Elephas maximus indicus: one gene and its partner. Each later gene encodes a partner of the first gene's protein in a complex. Links are inferred from orthologs where the notes say so. Each region holds a gene or a part of one and is shown on either strand. Other genes may lie near its edges.

Region 1 (9,967 bases):
CACAAGCTCAGATTAATGTCTAGGTGCAAACATAGATGATGTATATACCCTCATGTAATTGCAGAAAGTAGCTGGGGGAGGGATATTAGGAATATTCCCGTCCAGGTGGGAAACTGTTAGAGAAGTGAAACTACCCAGGCAGCAGTAGAAGTGGTTTTTAAGCTTTGATTCCTCAGGCAATCATCTCCCCCTCGCCCCCATCCCCCCCCAAAATTATTTGTGAAACTTCCTTATTTTTGCTTGTTGGGAGGTTTCTAAGTAACCGGGAAGACTAGAAGTATTCCGCATCTATATTTTCAAATGAATGTACTCAGAAAAAAAAGAAAAGAATTGATTAAGAATTGTATATGCCATTGAGGGTGCAGGTCTAAATGTCTATTACTTTTCTAGAAAGTGGTATGTATCAATAGCTTCACAAATCCTCAGAGCTCTGAGTAATTCCGCTTCTGGGAATCTCTTCTTAGGAAACAAATGCTGATGGAAATGAAGGTTTGTTGATACAAATGTTCATTGCCACGTCACTTACACTGCTGAAAAATTGGCACTCCAAAATGTCCTTGACACGTTGCTACGTGAAAAGGGCCAGATATAAAATTGTATATAGTGTGATCCTAATAACAAACACGTTTGTTTATGTATGTGTATGTGTATAGAAAATACTTTAAGGAAGTATACCATAGTGTTGGCAGTGGTAAACTCTTGAGTGGTAGTATGAGTGATTTTGATTTTTTTAAAAAAATATTTTCTTGCATTTTTCAACTTCCTAGGTGTACATGCATTTTTGTTTAGATGTTATCTTAAAAACAGGAATAATGGGTTTATGTTACATGTGGAGGCTTGTACAGTAAAGGCATGAGAGAAAAATCATTTTTTTTTTTTTAAGTCAGGTAGAACTGAATTTGATTTGGAACTCTCCCACTTACAGGCTGCATGTCTTTGGGCAGGTCACTTATCTCGCCGAGCTTACTTTTCTCACATGTCAAATGAGAATGTAGGGTTATTGTGAGGTTTATATATAATTCAGGCATTAATAAATTAATGTAGTATTGGTGGTATTAATAGAAGTATTAACTGTAGTAGTAGTAATAACAACAAAGGAATAATTGCGATAATAATAGCTGACATTTTTTGGGTGCTTACCAGGAAAACCTGTTGGCACAGTGGTTAAGAACTATGGCTGCTAACTAAAAGGTCGGCAGTTCAAATCCACCAGGTGCTCCTTGGAAACCCTATGGGGCAGTTCTACTCTGTCCTATAGAGTTGCTATGAGTTGGAATCGACTCAGTGGCAATGGGTTTGGTTTGGTTTTTTTGGGTACTATGCACCAGGCATTATTCTAGTCCAGGAGTTGGGGGGTGTTCACTCATTTAATCTTCATGATAATACAGTGAGGTAAAAACTCTGATTATCTCCATTTTACAGTAGAGAAAGGTTTAATAACTTGGCCACGGGAGCATAACTAGTGAATGGAGGAACATATCTTGTAAGTGGTCACCCACTAACAGTATATAGTTACTTTTCCCCCTGAAAGGCTAAAAGTCACACGAGCTTTATAATACGATCAGTAAATGAGCCTGTGGGCAAGTATTCTACACTCAGGTCACTGCTGCTGTCTCTGCTTTAGAGAAGGAGAAAAATTAATTTTCCTTCCTTATGTTACTGGACTAAGGTCTGGTTGCCCTTCTGCTACTCTAAGTTTTATTTCCCTTAATACTCTATTGTCCCTATTTATTTAAAAATGGACATGATTGGCTTGACCTCTTACCTTCTTCTGGATCATTGGCAATGGCCTCCAGGTCTTCATCAGTGATGGGCTGATTTAAACTTAGTCGTCTCTTCTTCAGAATCTTCCCTGTGGCTGACACCACTGCCACACTCTCCTTGAAGGCAGGTTTGGCTATCTTAGAGGTTTCAGAGGTACTCAGTGACATAAATTTATCCATGCAGACCTCCTGAAGTGGGCCATAGTTTGCATCATAGAAGGATTTCTGTAAAGAAGAAAATGGATACTGAGAGGCTGCCATGGCTGTGGAATGAATGACACACTTTTCAGTAGGAATCTTGTCCAACTGACTTAGTGAGAAGGGTCTCCATTTTGGTCTTGGGTAACCTATGTTTCATCAGTCTTCTCCTGCTCCTTCCCTCCCTCCTACCTTCCTCGCTTTTCTCTTTCTTCCTCCCTTCCCTCCTTGCTTCCCTCCCTTTCTTTCTTCTAGGATGTCCCTAAAAGGATGTGATCTCTTGGGCGAGACTTTGTCATCCATGTGCAAGGACTCACAACTGAGATATTGTAATAAAATAGGTTAACAAGCGATCTTCGTGAGTGGTAGTCTTCAAATTGGTTCCTGCTCAGGAGGTTATGGTAATCTCTGCTTGACCTCTGCTTTAGAAATGTTCCTCTGAGAACAGCTTTGGCAGTCGGTACCAGAAATACACACGGCAGAACTTATCCCACCTACTTGTGGACTCCAGGTGAGTGGCTGCAGATTTCTCACTTTCAATTGGTCTGCTTCTTCTACTTCATGGGCTATTATGTTTGGAGGGCTCTACCTAACCTCACTTTAGGAGACAGACACCTAGTGAAGTGACCTGAAGGGGCTGCTTCAGGATGGCATAACTGATGTTCTGATGAAGCCTGACCCAGGAGGCTGTGGTCCTTGTGGCTTCAGGAAAGTTCTGCTCTGTTCTGGGCAAGGTGGTGAGCATGAGGAATGCCATTAACTGTTAGTTTAGAGAGGCAGCTGGTCTCACTTGTAATGAAGAAATGCAAGTTTCTGGACCTTTAGTGGATGTAAAACAAAAGTATCGACGGCCCAAGTCATTATTCTCTCCTGGTGAGAAACTACTGTATAAAAATACCAGTGCCCTAGGAGTTGCAATCATTTGCTTACCTGAATCAGAGAGAGGGTGTCATTGTTGGAACTGTATTCTTCATTTTCACTGTCAAAACAAGATGATGAGAATGTAATTCTGTTTATTTCCCTACGGTCACTGGGCAACTTATTTTAATGACCACATTAGCTTTGGGTAACACACACACTTGGACATTACTGTCATCTTTGAAAATTAAAGGACTTCTAGACACACACATACATACAGTAATTCATTCCGTACTAATTTGCAGTTAGGAATAATCAGGACAGGGCTTGGACTTTACCTGTGCTTCATCTATAAAAACTGGGTTTGGCTAACAAATTAAAGAGTTTTTATTGAACGTCAGGAAAAAATGTTAAGTTCCTCAAGAGAAAAGAAAAACTTTTGAAACATCTCCATTTTTTTAAACCAAATGTTTAATCATATGTTGCACATTGTTTTCCTGGGTTCTACAAAGTAGATTTAATAATTTATATTTGGCAAAATATTCAGGTAGCATTTTGATAGGCTAGTTTGTATTAGTGTATGTTATAGGTAGTGAGAATGCCATAAGTGTTTAAAATGTTCTGTAATTTCAATTTTTTATTTCTTTATCTTTCTCCTATGTCTGAATGAAGTTTGAGTGTGTGTGTGCATTCACAAGCTCGAATTGCTGTGTAGCCAACTCCTGATCCTGATTGGGATAAGAAGTTTGCATGAGAATGGCTTCTTTCTCATCCATGAAAACCCATTACTGTATCAGGGCATTGAGCTCAATTGGGGCTGTGCTTAAGTAGATGTTGAAATTCGTGTAGAACTCGGTAGACTTCAAAAATCATTTTTCTAAAATGACTGTCTCCCTGTCAGTGCAATCTCAGTTTAACACGCTGGATGCTTGATTTCCCTGAGTCTTCAGCTGAACTTGCACAGAATTCAGAAGTAGTGTTCTCCACACTCTCTGCTGATCTGACCCCATGTTGGTCACCGTAACTCCTAGCGGGATTCTAATGAGACTTGATCCCTTTGTTAAATCACAAGAGATAGAATCTATTTCTTACCTGTAACAGTCCTTCAGGTCTTCAAACAGGTCAGGAACTTTGGCCATCTTGATTTTCTGCAACAGAGAACACTGGCTGTCGGCTCAGCCAACCTTTGAATCAGATGGAGCCAACTCCACTCTATGTTTCTTGGGAGACTTGACTGAATTGACTTAGCCCACACTCAGCATTTCCCCTATTCTTCTTGTTCACTCTCTCGCTCTGTTTTTATTTATACCTACCTCCTTCACTGGACTGTAGCCTTTTTAGAATCTGTTTTATTTATCTTGGTATCCCTTACATGCCCAGCCCAATGCACTGCACATAGCAGGCATCGAGGGAACTAAAAGTCACCAGAATGAGATATTTATCTTACACAGATGTAAGAGAAAGACAGGTGGAAATTTCCAGCTCTTTTCCTGATAATTTTTGGTAGAGAAATTTCCTTCAGAGGGAAGGCTCAGATGTGCCCACCAACGCCCTCATAAGAAGCCAATTCCTCTGTCCTTGGGGTTCCCCAGCAGAATGAGAGATTTTCTGAGATCTGACTGTGATTCTCGCTCACATCCCAAACCAGGGAGGGACAAGAAAGGAAGAGAGAGGTTATTGCTTCATAGAAGGCAGTTTGAGAGACAGCAGCCAAGAAAAAAAACAAAAAATATTTAAAAAGAGAAACACGTGATAAGGACGATACCTTTGCCGACTGGAGCGCCAATGAAGTGATTCCTTCTCTGCCAGGAGAACTAAGACCGAGTCAGGCTGCTTCGCCTTTTGTAATTGTCTTGTCTTAAGTAGGTGTGGCAATGACTACGTCACCAGGGAATTTACAGGAGAGAATTCTTTTTGAATCAACTTGATACTGGCTAAAATAAGACAGATTGTATAGTTGATGGTATTGCCAAATTATTTGCAGAGATCCCAGGACTTTTTTTTTATTCACTAGGCTTATTGACTTATTGCTTTGCTCTATACAATTATAAACATGCAGTCTTAGAAAAAGGGAAGAAGAGCAGAAAACGTATTAAGCTTCTAAAAATATGCAGTGAGGGGAGGAAGTTACAGTGGTTAGCGTTGGAGGGGGCTTAGTAGCTGTAGTGGGTGTCTTGGCTTCATTTGTTTATTGTGCGCAGGCTGAAAGGGAACTGATGACACATCTTTCTTGGAGAGAGGTTTGCTTAAATAAGACATAAATCACTCTGAGCAGGAGGTGATGATCTCCTGGTTAGGCAGAATAGAGAAGTGATATTTGACCACAAAAGTTTTAATCCTTTGCTCCTCTGAATACTGTCAACTCATTTCTGACAGAGGTGACAGAGAACTCCCTGCCCTAGCCATGTCTCAGCAAAGCAGGCCTCTGCCAGAACCCAAAGAGAAGCCTGGGCTTCTCCAGGATCAACCCATGGTGTGTAAGGGTAGCTGCACCCTTGGGGAGGAGCGGGTAAGACCCTGGGCAGAGACCAGTGGCTGGGGTCTCAGCAGCAGTATCTTACAAGTCTGCAGTGCAGCCAACAGGACATCCTCGGGGAACTGGGGGACTCAGGGACCTCAAAAGGAGGCTGAGGGAGGTTACATCAGTGATGTCTCATTGTTACTATTAAAGGCTTTTTGGTATCCTGAGGCCAGCCCAGTTCAGGTGATAAAACACCAGGCTGCTTAGCAGATGAATGTTTCAGGTTTCTTAGTGGGAGTTTGAACCACACAAATTTAAGTAAAGTAAATGGATGGAAGAAAAGGGCAGAGGAGAGAAAAAGCAGAGAGAGAAAGGTGAGGCCTTTGATACATATGGTATAAAACATGATATAAAAAGGCAAAAAAATCACAGAACTGGAAGTGGGGTGGTTTGTGCGAGTTTGGTAAACTCTCTGGGACTGTTTAACTGAGAATATTGGACTTGGTTAGATGATCAATCAGGTCTATTATAACTGCAAAAATCTTTGATTCTGTTGCTTACTCTCTCAGTAGCCCAGTTCCTCCTGGTTGTAGACTTGGTGTTGTAATAGTTATAAACAAGAGCCACAGAAACAACTGGCACCCTGGAAGAAGGTACTCTAAATGTAGGATCAAGTTGAGACAGAGTTTGGGTGTCTTTGGATTGACCCTTGGGTGAACAAGGATGACAGTCAACTCTTCACATTTAGTTCCCCTTCAGGCAATACAGAAATGTTAATCCTAGTCACCCGCTCTGCCTCTGGTGCATCTTGTTAGGACTATTATTAAGAAACAATTTCAAAGCACATTGTGAATGTGGGCTGCTACACAAATAATGACACTAATGATGGCTCCAGTTGTAACGCCTTGGTTCACTGAAGAGGATATAGTTCTTAGGAAAATATGAGCTTGAAAACTTCAACAGGGAGAAAAATTCCAGTTGAAGGTCATTATTGAATCCCTGAAGGCATTTATTTAGCCCGTGGGAGCAAAGCATACCACCTTTTTGGTAATCCAGGAAATCACCCTTGCTTCCACCATCAGCAGCAACGTCCGTCCTGGCCTTTATCGCTCCTCCACTGTAAAGAAATCCCCAAAAGTGGTTGTTGAGTTTCTCAAAAAGAGTTTAGTTTTCTCTAGAAAGCTAACTCAGGTTGGGGTATCTCCCAACATTTTCCTTCACTTGACCTCCTTGGACTTGGTTTTTCAAGGAAAAACAAGGTGGATAAAGTTCAGGGTGGGAGAGGCCCTTGCTTTGTTTTTGGGAGCCTTGTTTGCACGAGGGTGAAGGAGGCTGACCTGTAAGTAACCTTGCTTACCTCTAAGACCACATCTTTCTAAGGAGTGGAGAGAAGAATACACTTGGTGTATCTCTAATGGAGTCTAGGATATGTAGGGGGTGGGCTGTCCTATGACAGGAGCTCTCAGTGTCTTCATGTACATACTTCTTGGCTCTCAGGAGACCATGAAAAGCCCTTCTTGAGTTATTTTTACAAAAATCATTCAGAAAAAATTATTGTGCACTTATTCCATGCCAGGCATTTTGTTAGGCACCGGTGTTTTTCTTTCGTGATTCAAAAAATTAGATATGCAAGATGAGATGATGGATGTTGGCAAGTTAGTGGATATGCTTTACCAGGTGAGAGATGGTACGTCCAAAGAATCATGATGATGCTTTTCATTTGAAACTGCTTTAGAGTTCACAAAGAGCTCTTAACTGCTATGCCTTACTGACTTCTCATTGCATCTGTAAGAGGTAGCTATTATTATCCATTTTTCTTTGCTGAGGACCCTTGAACAGGTTAAGTGACTAATCTAAGATCACAAAACTGACAGAACCAGTACTTGAACTCTGGTTTCTGAGTCTCTTCTCACCACCAATACCAAGTGACAGGGCCGAAACAGATCATTCTTAAGGTCTTTCCCACCTCAAACACTCTATTTGGTGATTTTGGACTCTTGTTAAAAAAAAAAAAAAAAGATAAAAAAAGAGAAGATTTGAAATATATTTCCCTTTCTTCCCTAATCTCATTTTGTTCTGTGACATACAGGAACAGGAGGAAGGTATTGAGCACATGGTCAGGAGTGGAGCCTGGATGGGAACCCGAGTCTTGTTCTTGCCATTGTACCAGGAAGACAGGAAATGCTTGTAAACATTTTTAGACCAACTTTAGAATCATTGCATATGATTGAATCTAACAGAATCACTTGAATGCAGAGAGAAACAAGACTTTTCTCTGTGAATTTCCAGGACATGCATTCATTAATTTTTGGGCGGTATAAAGCCTCTTCAGAGGAATAAACAATGCATAAGCCATTGCTTACAGAGACAATTGGGCCTTTAGTCTCAACTCATGCTCTATTTAATTATAATCTGCTTTTAAATTCTATGATGGTGAAGGGGAGGGAGGAAAGGGCACAACATCGTCTACTGTGTTCCAGGTGCTGTAATACATTATCTCATTTAATCCTCTGATCCTACCTGTGAGGTAGGTGTTCTTATCACATTTTATAGATGAGGATATCGAGGTTCAGAGAGATTAAGCAATCTGCTCAGGATCACAAAGTTATCAAATTGCTGAAATGGGTTTCAGACACCAGAGCTAGTATGCAGTCAACCAAACAGGAGGCCTTCTCTTTTCCTTAGTGTAGCCTCTTCCTTTCCTTTGTTCCCTTAAATTAATGTTTAATTCTTCTGCCTTCTGTTGTTAGTCTATTGAAGGACCTAGAATTATATTTTAGAGAAGGACGCACCTCAGATACCATCAAGTTCAAATTCTTAAAAAAGAGGAAATAGTCTCAGAGGGAGGACGTACTACCCCATGGTCACATGAAGAATTCATATGAGAGCAAGAACTAAAATTGAAGCTCACTATTTCTTGACTTCTAGTTCAAAATATCTTATTACCTACTAACACTGGCTCTTCAGTGAACAGAGGAAAAGTGAAGATATAATCTCTTCTAAAAAAAAATTTTTTTTTTTTTAATATGGCTCCTCACCTGTAAATAAAAAAGGAATTAAAAACAATGAAACCCCATCAAGTAAGCAAAACCAGCTATGGTTCCTGTTTTCATGGAAGCTGACAGTGAAGACATTAATCAATAATCTCCCCAAACAGTATGTATGGACAAGCAAATACAGTAAGTCATGTCACAGAGGAGCTGGTCTTAGACTGGGAATGGATAGTACAATGGGGAGGGAAGAGGGAATATTCCAGGCTGAGCAAAGGTTATGGGGATCAAAGAAGTGAAAGTACACCATTGAGGCTGCAGCAGGGGGTGAGAGGAGGTGGCAAGATAAGGATGGAGAGGAAGGCAAGCACCAGACAGGCAGGGCCTCGTGTAGGCCCAGCTAAGGTCTTTATCCAAAGTTTAATGGGACCGCACATAACAACAAGAACAACCACAAGGGTTGTACGTATGGGTGACATAAGCAGCTTTGTACTTTTAAAAGATCGCTCTTGTGCGTGAAAACAATTTCTAGATTATAAAGCAGTAGACGAAGGATAGGAATTACACGGAGTGAAGAGAATGTATTCACAAAGCGTACATGAAAACTGGCCTTGCTCTCTTCACTCTGGCTTGTGTACCAGAGGCAGCAAGTGCTCTGGGAGCTCGAAGAGCAGAGGGCTGCCTTGGCTGGGAGCAGGTGGTGAAGTTCACGTAGGTTGAAGCCTGCTATTCAGTCAGCAAATCCCCAGTGAGCAGTGTTTCCTTCTCCTATCTTTAATTAATCATTTGTTCCCTAATTTATATACTTTTCTTCCTAAATCCCCTTCCTCTCTTCTCTTGAAGTGGTGCTTTACAGGACTGTGTCCCCTCTTTGCCTCCTCCCTTGGGTACGTGCCCTTTTCCCATCTTTCACAGATGCTCTTGACAAAATCAGAGTTCGCCAGACTGCTTCCTGTGTGGTTACAGCCATGTCCATGCCTGTCCCTCACTTCTCCTTCTTCCTGGGGTGTTGTGATTGTCTGATCCGAAATGCACTTTTTAGAAATCCCCTTTCCTTTTTTTTTTTCCTTTATTTTTCTCATTAGAGTCATAGTTATTTGTGATCTAAACTTGTTTCTCAGTTGTTTTTTTTTTTTTAACTTATTATTTTTTGGATTCTAATACATGTTTTATTAAATATTTCTAGGGTTATATAAAGATATGCAGAAGAAAGTAAAACCCACAAATAATAACTAGAGACACCAGTACCGGTAGCCGTTGAGTCAACTTTCACTCACGTCGACCCCATGTGTGTCAGAACAGACTTAATTGTGCTATACGGGATTTTCAATGACTGATTTTTTTGAAGGTAGATCTCTGGGCCTTTTTCCTGAGGCATGTCTGGCTGGACTTGAATCTCCAACGTTTTGGTTACAGTTGAGCACATTATCCATTTGTACCACCCAGGGACTCCAGATAATCACTATTAATATTTTGGTGTTTTTGATTTTAGTTTTTCTTTTTTCAAGAATTATATATATATATATATGTTTTTATACAACTGGAAGACTCTGAACATTTTAGTATTTGATTTCTTGATATCTAGGGAACATATTTATAGTAGAGGTAATGCTTACCCAATATCCACCTGGTGATTTGGAGGTTACCTGTTCAATGTCTTTGTTCACTTCCCTGTCTCCCTTGCAGTTAGGTTGGGG
Region 2 (10,470 bases), on another chromosome or scaffold:
ACTCATCACTATATAAAACCAAAACCAAATCCAAATCTGTTGCCCTTGAGTCGATTCCAACTAAGAATGACCCTATAGGACAGAACTGCCCCATAGGGTTTCCTGTGGCTGATAGATTTGAACTGGTGACCTTTTGAATAGCAGTAGAGCTATTAACCACTGTGCCACCAGGGATCCTTGATCATCAGCATATAGATGGTGCTTAAAGCTATAGGATCACCAAGGGAGTGAATGTAGATAAAGGAGTAAACAGGTCTAAGAACTGAGCCTGGAGGCACACCAACATTCAGAGATTGGAAAAAGGAGGTTCTTAGACTTTATTCAATGTGTAAAGCAAAGAAGACTAAGGAGGAGCAGCCACACAGATAGCAGGAAAACCAGGAGCACTTGTTATCTAGAAAACCAAGTGAAGAAAATGTTTCAACAATGTAAACAAGGAATATGAACTGATCATTTAGCAGTAAGGAGATCACTCATAATAGTAGCAAGAGAAGTTTCAGTGGCAGTGGGGTGGTGGGGATGAAAACCTGACTAGAATGGATGCAAGAAGAAATGGGGGATGGGGAGCAGACAGTGTCAGGAGAGGAGAGAGTGAAGGCCCTAAGTATAAATAACTCTCACTGCTTTTGAGGAATTCTGCTATAAAGGGGAGCAGAGATATAAGGCATAGCTCGAGGGGGTTATAGGGCCAAGGGAAGTTTTCTTTCTTTCTTTTTTTTTTAAGATGGGAGATATTACAGCATATGTGCAAGCTGATAAGAATGACCCATAGAGAGGAATCATTTAATGATGCAAGACAGAGAGGGAGAATAATTGCAAGAATAAAGTCTTTAAGTAGGCCAGAGGGGATGGGATCCAGGGCACCAGTGAAAGGGTTGGCCTTAGGAGCAGTGACAGATCCTTCATGGTAACAGGCAGAGCATGTGCTGATCAGGTTGCAGATTTGGGAGAGGGAGCACTGAGAAGTTTCTTGATTGCTCCTATTTTCTGTGTGAACTAAGAAGCAAAGTCATCAACCGAGAGAAGAAGAATGTGGAGGGGGAGGTACTGGACCCTAAGGAGAGAGGAAAGTTTTGAACTAACCATCTGAAAGAGCTGGTAAATGAAGTGATGAAAGAACTGTAGAATTGCCAAGGGTCCCCTCGGGGTTTGTGGTTATAGATTTAAGTGAGACAAGTCAGCATGGCTGTGTGTGTGTGTGTGTGTGTGCGTTTATTTGTTTGTTTTTTCCAGTCAGATTCACTCTACCAGTGCAGACTCAGGATGCTGGATTTAACCAGCATGTTAATCAGCAAGTTAATGTAGGTAGAGTGTTGGATTTAACCTGGGTGGTGCAAGCAGTTTGCGTTTTACTACTAACCTAAAGGTTAGCAATTCGAACTCACCCAGCAGCACTGCCAAAGAAAGGCCTGGTGGTCTGCCTCCATTAAGGTTATAGCCAAGAAAACTCTATGGAGCAGTTCTACTCTGTAACACATGGAGTCGCCATGAGTCAGACTCAACGAAACAGGGCAATGGGTTACAGGGATGCCACCAGACAAGCAGGACAGAAGGAGACAGAAGCAAGGAAGTTAAGGGAGTGATTATAAGAATGAACTTTAGAACTGGAGTTGAGTAAGAAGGTTAATAAGGACACAAGGGATGAGGATGAAAAAAGAAAAAAGGGTCAAGAGATTAGAGGTTCCAGTGGTATAAAGGAAATGCTGGGAGGAGGAAAAGAGGAATAGATTTGGAAAGTCAGGAGGTGGCAGTCAGAGAAAGGAAAGCTTGAAATTAAGATTGTGGAGGTGGCACATTTTTTTGGTAATAAGGTCTAAAGTCCGAACATAGAAATGGGATGCTGAGATGAAGGGCAGAATCTTTGGAATTTAGGTTTTGGATGAGTTGTCTGTGGGGATACTGAGGCCACCGAGAATAATGACAGAAGCAATCATGAGAAAAAGAACAGTAAGCCAGGGGCTGAAGTGCTATGAAGACTGCAATAAGAGAGATGGCAGGTAATACACGGGCTTCCAAAGAGCAAGGGTGCTTAGCAAGAAGGAGGAACTTAAATCTGGAAGCAGCAATGAAAAGCAAAGAGGTCTTCTCCTGTGTTCCCAGGCCCAGAGGGAGTTGGATGTGGAAGAAAAAAAAAAAGCCATTACTTGACAAGGCAACAGGGAATGCTGTACCTTCAGGCAAGAGCCAGATTTTCAGTAAGATGATGAGGAAAAAACTCTGAGAAGTCTAAGGATGAAGGGGATTTTGCCGGAGAAAAGACTATGAGTTTCAAACATTCATTTGTGTTTTTAAAAAATCCATATTCTCATACTTTTACATGCCTGGGAATTTTCAGAAAGGATGGAAGAGAAACTCAGCAGCCTGGAATGGTGTGCCAACCCAAAGGCAATGAAATTTAAGTCCTGACTCCTTTCTGTTAGTAGGAGAAAAGGAATGACCCTGTCAGGCACAATGTTGAGGGGATTTCCGTAGTGGGTGGAAAGTGATCATAGTTCCTCCTTATGAGCCCCTGATATACTGAGATTCTGTGACTCCATGAATTTGGCTGTTTTTACTTTTATTTTTGACAAGCCCCTTTGCACCATTGGACTTCAGTTTCCATATGTGTGAAGTGGGGAAGTTGGGCAATGTTTTCTCTTGACCTCCTTCTAGCTCTGATGACCTACGAATCTCCTGGAAGCCAGCCCTGGGCCCAGTCCTGTGTTGCGAAATGAGACCAGAGAGGCACAGACTAGACACAGGAAGCCAACAGTATGGTCTGAAGGGATCATGAAGCCCCGTAACACTCTCGCTTGCATAAACAGGTTTTTTAGTTACCTAGTTAGTTACACACACACACCCCAGGTAGGAAAATCAAGAACCATTTATCTGCACCCTTCCCCACAATCACACTTGTGCTCATACCATCATGTTCAACAATATCACCCACAACCACTGTCTCACAAAATCTTAGTCCTGCAGACCCTCACCTACCTTGAGCAGGTGAGGCAACTGCTGGGTGACCAGTTCCTTAAACTCATTGATGCTGAGGCTGTCCTTCCTGCCCTCCCGCCCTGCAAAGGTGAAAAAAGTGGTGACCACTGTCTCGATGGCGGTCTCCAGCTCAGTCAGTGGCTCTGCTGCCATGAGGACCCAGGGCCTGGAGCTGGTGTCCTGAGGGGCTGACCTGCAGGAGATGAAGGAGCAGAGGGAGAGTCAGGGAGACCAGGGGATCCAAGAATAGGCCAGAGGGTTCCCTGCCCTGGCTTTGCCACCTCAGGCTTCCACCCAGAAGGGGAATTATGTAGAAAAAGGAGAGGGCAGGAGACCAGGCAACATCATCTCAGTTGAGGTGGGTGATAGGAGGCATTTCAGCTCCAGAAACCCTTTCTTCTGTAGGTTTTGAATTCTAGGGGCCCTTTTTTAAGTGTTTGTGTCTTAGGGACCCTTCTGTGGTGGCCCCTCAGATTGGAGTCCCCTCTGTTGGAGGCTCTCAGTCTGGGGGTCCTTCTTTGGAGTTCTCTCAGTCTGGGGATCCCTCTGTGGAGTTCCCTCAGGCTGGCAGCCCTTCTGTGGGGTTTCAGTCCCAAGGGCCCTTTTGGAATCTCACCCAGCCTCAAAGGGTCATAAAGTTGTTTATTTCCGAAGCTTGTTTGTGTTCAGACGTGGGTCTCCACCCGCCTGCACTCCGCCACACACTCTGGCCGCTCTTTCCAACAGAGGAGCCCAGGGTCTGGCAAATGCCCAGCTGTGGTCAGGGCTGGCAAACCCGTCTTCATCATTTCCCCACTCCGCCTCCCTTCAGGCGCAAGTGCTGAAGCAGCTGGGCACAGGGCTGAGCCCTGGACCCCACAGACCGTCTCCTCTCCTGTTTCCGGTGACAGGGGTCCCCGATGGGACTCGCTGACTCCCCGCGCCCAGAAAGGGAGGGAGAGAGGGCTTCGGCACTCAAAGTCCTTGAGGGTAAGGGGGGCGGGCTGGAGGAAGGGGACATTCCCAAACGCCCCGCCTGTTCCCAACCACCGCCTGCGGGGAATGTTGCTTGATTTCCCTAAACCACTTCCTGAAATCCTATCTGAGCTGGCTCCGGGGAAGGGACCTGAGAGCCCGAGGAGGAAAGGGGTGTCCCAGGCTCTGCCCTGCAGGGTTAGAGGGACGCGACTCACCGGGGCAAGGAGATGGGGTGCAGCGAGCGGGAGCTGCCGGGCTGAGGTTTATAAGCGCCCGCGGAGGGAGGAGAGAGCCGCTCACAAGCCCAGAAGTGTCGAGTTTCCGTCGATGATTCGGAAGAAAGGGTACCGCCCAATCACGCCTCTGAGCTATGAAGCCTGGAACCTGGGCCCCCCGCAACCCAGCGCCACAGCGCCCCCACTTGGGGGAGGACGGGAGGACCTGCCGCGAGATGCCTGGATAGATCCCACCCAGCAGGGATCCTATACCTCCGAATACAGGGGGCCCCCCAACCTAGCCCCACCACACCCCACATCTAATCAGGAGTGTATAGGATGAGAGCGGAGAGGCAACTGCAGATTCAAATAACCAACCGAGGGAGCTCAGAGCTGAGAGACCCAACCTAAGCAATGCCACAGAGCGTCCCTCAGGAATCAAGATCCTCTCAGCGAACTCATGACTAAGACATCATAAAAAGGGCTCCAGGCCGAGACCCCCAGAGAGGAGGCCCTGGATTGAAGTCCCTCAGTGGAGTCTCAGACTGAAGCCCCTCAGGCAGACTCCTGGGACTAAATTACTCAGGGGACCCCCCAGTGAGACTTTATGGAGGAGCTTCAGTCTCAGACCTCCTCAAAGGGATCCTCCCCTTTCTCTGTCCAATGGGGCACAGCCAGCCACAGGGGCTGCCAGCTGAGCTGGGGTGAGACATCTCTGTCCCTCCCAGGGCCTCTTTTCCGTGGCCCCCTCGCCTTGCTGGTGCCTAGCAAGGGAGAAGGTGGGGGGGGCCGGCAGACCAAGGCTGGAGAAGAGGACACAAGGCAGCCTGTTCCAGCCCAGGAGACAGAGGGCGCCTCTGTTCGCTCCTGGCCCTTTGCCCCACTGGGTGTCTGTCTGTGAAGGGGTGGAGCCAGTGGGGGGGGGTCAGCGGGGGAAGGAGGACTGAAGACAGGTCTCCCGACACAGCTCTGGTAGCCACATTTGCAGACTCATCTGTCTGTCCAGAACCTGCTCCCACCTCAGGCCCAGGCTAACTGTGAGTATCCTGCCCCACCTGGGCTAGGGCCCTTCCCTGGCTAGCTTGGGGGAAAGGGGGTTTCAGGGGAGTTCTAGGAGTCTGGGGATGATGGCATTGTGGAGGACCGAGGGTCTGGGAGGAGATAGTGTGGTGGCAGTTTGGGATTTGGAGGAGACAAGATTGGGAAGGTGATGAGGCAGCCAAGTGAAGGTCAGAGGGAAATCTGGGAGCTCAACAGATGAGGAAACCAGTGGGGAACCTGTCAGCCCTGAGCAAGTTTCCGGGCCACTGGGCCTCCCAACAAGGAGCCCACAAGTCCCCTCCCAAGGCTCCCACAATCTCCCAGGTGCAGGCTTGGGGACCTGGTAGCCCCCACCTTGTTTCCAGTAGGGTAAGAATAAGAGAGCAAATAGAACAGCTGCTTCGGCCTGCCCCCCCCCCCCGCCACCCCCACCCAGCCTGCCAAGAGCTCAGGTCCCAGGAAGTCCCGGGGTGGCAGAGCATGGATGATGTGATACCAGAAGAGGGAGCACTACGGCACTGTACCTACCCCCCACTCTACCTGCACATGACCTCCCCTTTCTCGGCCCAGACCTCCAGACTCCTCTTTCCCCCAATTCTTTACTCTTTGTTTTCCCATCTGCCCTCCCCCCACCCGCCCACTCTGCAACCAGGTCCTCTCAGAACTGCCCCCCCACAAAATCCCAGGGTGCTCAAGAGCTCCAGGCAACCTCCAGGCACCCCTCCTGGATGGGGCAGGTAATCAAGCCCCAAAACCCCTCCCTCATACACCCCCTTATCCCTTCCATCAGCCCCAGCTTGGGTTCCCTCTCCTCCTGTGTCTCTGTGACAACCATTTCTCATGTCTGGAGTTCAGGTGACGCACACAAGGATTCCATTGAAGAGCTGGGATGTCATCTGATCAGGGCCCATTGTCCAGCCCCCCAGGCCTGGGGAAGGATGGGGACACCTGATCTGAGACATCTGAGCTGCCCCCTGAGACTGTGAAGGGGCTGATTGTCCTCCCAGGGCCAAGGGAAAGAGGCCCCCCTGGCTTGACAGGCTCCTCACCCCAGCCCTCTCCTCAATAGGCCCCTCCATTCTCCTCTCCCAGCCCCTTGAACTCAAAGGACCGCTCACCTTTAGCCCTTTATCTCCTCCAACACACACCATCCCCCATTCCCCCTGCTCCCACTGTCCCCACAGTGAGCAGGCTGGGCCTGGGGAGAGGGGTGATGAAAAGCAGCAGGGACAACAAGGCCCTACAGGTCTCCTTGCCCCTTTATGGAAGCCCTGGCTCTAGGGATAAAGGGTTAAGGCTCCCTTCCCACCACTCACCTGATGAAGGGGCTGATTCTACAGTGAAGTGAGAGGAGCCAAACTAGAGGTAATGGGAGGCATACCCCAGGGAAGCCAAAATGACATATTCAGGAGATAATGGAGTTGAGGCACCAAAAGGGTTCCCTAGGTTGCTGACAGGAAGCTCAGGGGCGGTGAGATCCTCCCCCAAGAAGTCTTGGGCCACTCACTCTGGCTGCTACCCCTCCATTCAGGCTCACTGAGGGCACCAGACTAACTCCTTGCTAGGGTTGGGGAGTGGAGTCAAGGTTGTGGAGAGGACCCCAGCCCACCACCTCCTACAAAAGAACTTGGCTGTGCTGCGCAGGCAATGCCCAGGATAAAAATAGAGCCTGGCCACATCCTGTGACCATTCCTGCCTGCCCCACCCTCCTCAGTCTCTGCCCAGGCAGCCAGGACCCACTGCAGCAGTCCTCTGCAGGACTTCAGAGCCAACCCAGCTCCATCTGCTCTATCTCCATGCCCAAACCCTGACTCCATCTGGTCTGGATTTAGGTCTGTTTGGGTTTTCCCCACATTGTAAAATCTCAAGGAAAGATAAATAGGTGTGGGGATCTGATCTCGTGGCTATTCTGGCCTCGGACCAGGCCTGAGGCCAGAACTCCCCTCACCCCAGCCCCAGACACCCTAGGCTTGGTCCCCAGCTCACTTCCATCTTGGGGGGTAGGTGAGCTGCCGAAATGGGCTCTGAGCTGGAGACTGCAATGGAGACCCTCATCAACGTGTTCCACGCCCACTCGGGCAAGGAGGGGGACAAGTACAAGCTGAGCAAGAAGGAGCTGAAAGAGCTGCTGCAGACTGAGCTCTCCGGCTTCCTGGACGTGAGCAAAGAGTGGGGGTACAGGGTGGAGTGGGCAAGGAGTGGGCACCTTTCTGCCATCTACTCATCCTACTCCCAGGTCAGCCCAACCATCTCTCTGCTCTCCCAGGCTCCTCTCCTGCGTTTTTCCAGGCTCCCCTGCTTTTCCTGGTTCAAGTCCAAATGCCCTGGTTTACTGAGCACCTGCTAAGTGCTAGGCCCTGTGTAGATCCATCAGCAACAAAGCTCACAGCCTAGAAGGGAAAGACTGACACTTGAAAGTTAACCATGAACTACGGGAAATATACGGAGCCTTAACAGGGGTCCCAAAAAGGTTTGTGGCAGAATATTAACCTGATTAGAGTGAGCCAGCTTCTCCAGACAGGTGACACTTGAGCCATGGATTTCCACTGGTAGATAAGTGGGGTAAATGTAGACAGCAGGTAACAGCATGAACAAAAGCATGGGAGACAGAAGAAGAATAGGGAACCTGCTCAGTAGTTTGACTGGAGTGCAACATACAGATAATTAGGCCGCAGATGCTAACAGGGGTCAGTAGTAAAGAAGAAGCCACAGGCACAGTAGAAAGTGCACAGGCTTTGAGGTTTGATTAGATCTAGGTTCAAATTCTAACCCCACCACTTTCTAGCTTTGTGACTTTGGGCACATTACTTAACCACTGACTGACAATTTTTTTCTTCTAAAATAGGAATAATGAAACTTACCTCATATTATTTTTCTTAAGATTTAAATCAGATAATGCGTGTAAACTCCTAGTGTATTGCTTGGCTCATTGTAGGCACTCAACGTTTGGTAATTTCTGCTAATACTATTTCTCTGCCATGTTAAGGAGCTTATTCTCTAGGCAACCAGTTCATAAATGTTTGTTACTTTTGAGGAGGGGAGCAGAGGAGCTCCATTGGATGTAGCTCTCCCTCTTGCTCACCTCTGTCTCCTTCTCCCCAATCAACTATTCCCTTAACACTGACTCAGTGCTAGGCCCCTATACTCCTTGTACACCTGCCCCTTCCTTTCCTCCCTTGGCAGGCCCAGAAGGATGCCGACGCTGTGGACAAGGTGATGAAGGAGCTAGATGAGAATGGAGACGGGGAGGTGGACTTCCAGGAGTATGTGGTGCTGGTGGCTGCCCTCACTGTGGCCTGTAACAACTTCTTCTGGGAGAGCAGCTGAGCAGGCAGCCCCAGTGAGCAGCGCCCTTCCCCTCTACAGTGCCGGACCTGCCCATTCACCCCACTTTCCCCTCACCCCACTTTTCCCTCCCCACATTCCCCATTCCCCATCAAGGGCGCAAGAGTAGCAGGTCAGGCCTGCAACTCCTCTCTCATTAAAGGCTTCTCTCTCGCCAGCCATCTGCTGTCTGTCTCCTCTGGGGTCCAGAAGTGGGTGGAGAAGTAAAGACTGCTCACTCAGGACTAGCCTTATTTGGGGAGGAGCCTTACTTGGGGAAGGGTCTTATTCGGAAAGAGGTCACTTGCATTACATCCTCCTACTTGAGGAATGCTCAAGGCCCAGCAATGTGGGGTTTTAGGGTTCCAGCTGTTAAGTGGAAGAGACATCAGCTTCTTGGCTATAAAGCCAGAAAAAGAATCTCCATTCAACATTAACCAGTATTTACTAAGGACCTACCAATGTGCTTAAGGAGGTGGCACAGCTACGGTTGCTAACCAAAAGGTCGGCAGTTCGAATCTGATTGGAAACCCTATGGGGCAATTCTACTCTGTCCTATAGGGTCCCTATGGTCGTGGTTTTTTTTAGGGAGTCCCTGGGTGGCATAAAGGTTAAAGCGCTTGACTACCAACTGAAAGGATAAAGATTAGAGTCCACTCAGAGGTGCCTCAAAAGAAAGTCCTGCTGATCTGCTTCTGAAAAATCAGCCATTGAAAACCTGTGGAGCACAGTTCTACTCTGACACACATGGGGTCGCCATGAGTCAGAAGGACTCAAGGCAACTGGTAACTGGTACCATGTGCCAGACATTGTGTAGGAACTTAGGATACAGCAGTGAACAAAACAAACACCATCCTTACTCTCACATGGCTAAAGTCCAGCAAGGATACCGGGCCATTAAAACACATACACACAAGTGCTAGGAAGAGAAATAAAAGAATCTGATGCATAAGTAAGGTGGAGGAAGGGTTGAAGATGTGTTCATTCACTCATGTCTCAAATATCTGAGCACTCTGTTGTGTATCCAGACATAAAAAAAGTCCCTTTATAGAACTGTGTCAAAATTCACATGGCTGGCAGGTGGAGAGGGAGGACATGAAAGGGTGAGCAGGGACGCAAAGATCTCCCCAAATAAGGACTAAGCAATATTCGGGCCAAATTGGGGACGGAAAGAAGTGGAGAGGTTAATACGGACGGGAAGCGGTGAATGGCGCAGGAACCGGGAAAGTGTTCTCAACTCCCAAAATAGGGAGAATGGGGTTGAGCGGACAGCCCGGCTCCGTGATCTGCAAGAGGTGGAGTAAAATTCCGCGGAAAGATTTTTAGACGGTCAGACTTAGACGGTCTATCTTAGGAGGGAAGGAGTAAACAAGGGGATACGAAAACATTTTTCTTCGAGACTGAATCCGTCTCAGTGGCCCTGACTACGAAGGACTCCAGGGGTCTACAGCTCCTAAACCGAGGCGCCTCCAACGTGAAGGCCCCGTCAAGCCTCAACACTAGGGCCATTGGCCACGCCCCTCCGCGGTCGGAGCGCTTGGTGTAACACAAACAGGGCCTTTTACTAAAGCTCCGCCTCCTCCCTGCGGCTCCGCCCCTCAGCCTCGTGCCCAAGTAGCAAAAGTCTTTCCCGCCCCCTAGTTGTGCGTGGATCTGACGCCTGACGTAATAGCGTCGACGCCATTTTAGCCGGCCCCACTCCGCACGGGGCGTGGTGGCCATTTTGTTTTGGACGTCGAGCGGGACACGGCGGCGTCGGCGGCGGCAGCGGCAGCGGCAGCGGCAGCTGTGGTGGCATAGACGAAAAGAAGGAAAAGGCAGGCTGGGTGAGCAGGCGGACTGGCCAAACAGCCCGCAAACAACAACGAGCTAGCCTAGCAGTCTATCGATTACGCATCTAACCAACCGCCCACCAAGTTACCCCGAGCCCCCCACCGTCAACTCAGGTTCGGCCGGTCCC

Evidence for each region.
Region 2: the proteins of IL1A (region 1) and S100A13 are in contact, whole or in part, in an NMR structure (PDB 2L5X), measured with the Homo sapiens proteins. The link is inferred for Elephas maximus indicus from reciprocal best matches to the Homo sapiens genes IL1A and S100A13. Residues at the interface, in NP_000566.3 of Homo sapiens: Asn148, Gln150, Tyr151, Thr194, Ala195, Gln196, Asp197, Leu203, Leu204, Lys205, Glu206, Met207, Gly216, Ser217, Glu218, Thr219, Asn220, His239; in NP_001019381.1 of Homo sapiens: Met1, Arg25, Gln26, Glu27, Gly28, Arg29, Lys30, Asp31, Ser34, Asp68, Ser69, Glu70, Lys72, Phe73.

The regions. Positions count from the first base shown.
Region 1 is NC_064835.1:42,083,559-42,093,525, forward strand, and holds the start of IL1A (interleukin-1 alpha), read right to left. Parts: upstream 3,959-9,967; coding exon 3,912-3,958; intron 2,941-3,911; coding exon 2,892-2,940; intron 1,989-2,891; coding exon 1,766-1,988; intron 1-1,765. UniProt on the Homo sapiens protein: Cytokine constitutively present intracellularly in nearly all resting non-hematopoietic cells that plays an important role in inflammation and bridges the innate and adaptive immune systems.
Region 2 is NC_064821.1:191,470,882-191,481,351, forward strand, and holds the start of S100A13 (protein S100-A13), read right to left. Parts: upstream 4,282-10,470; 5' UTR 4,146-4,281; intron 3,938-4,145; exon of another isoform or gene 3,590-3,937; intron 3,167-3,589; 5' UTR 3,127-3,166; coding exon 2,974-3,126; intron 1-2,973. Other genes in the region: S100A1 (protein S100-A1), read left to right, coding at 7,204-7,344, 8,370-8,513. UniProt on the Homo sapiens protein: Plays a role in the export of proteins that lack a signal peptide and are secreted by an alternative pathway. Binds two calcium ions per subunit. Binds one copper ion. Binding of one copper ion does not interfere with calcium binding.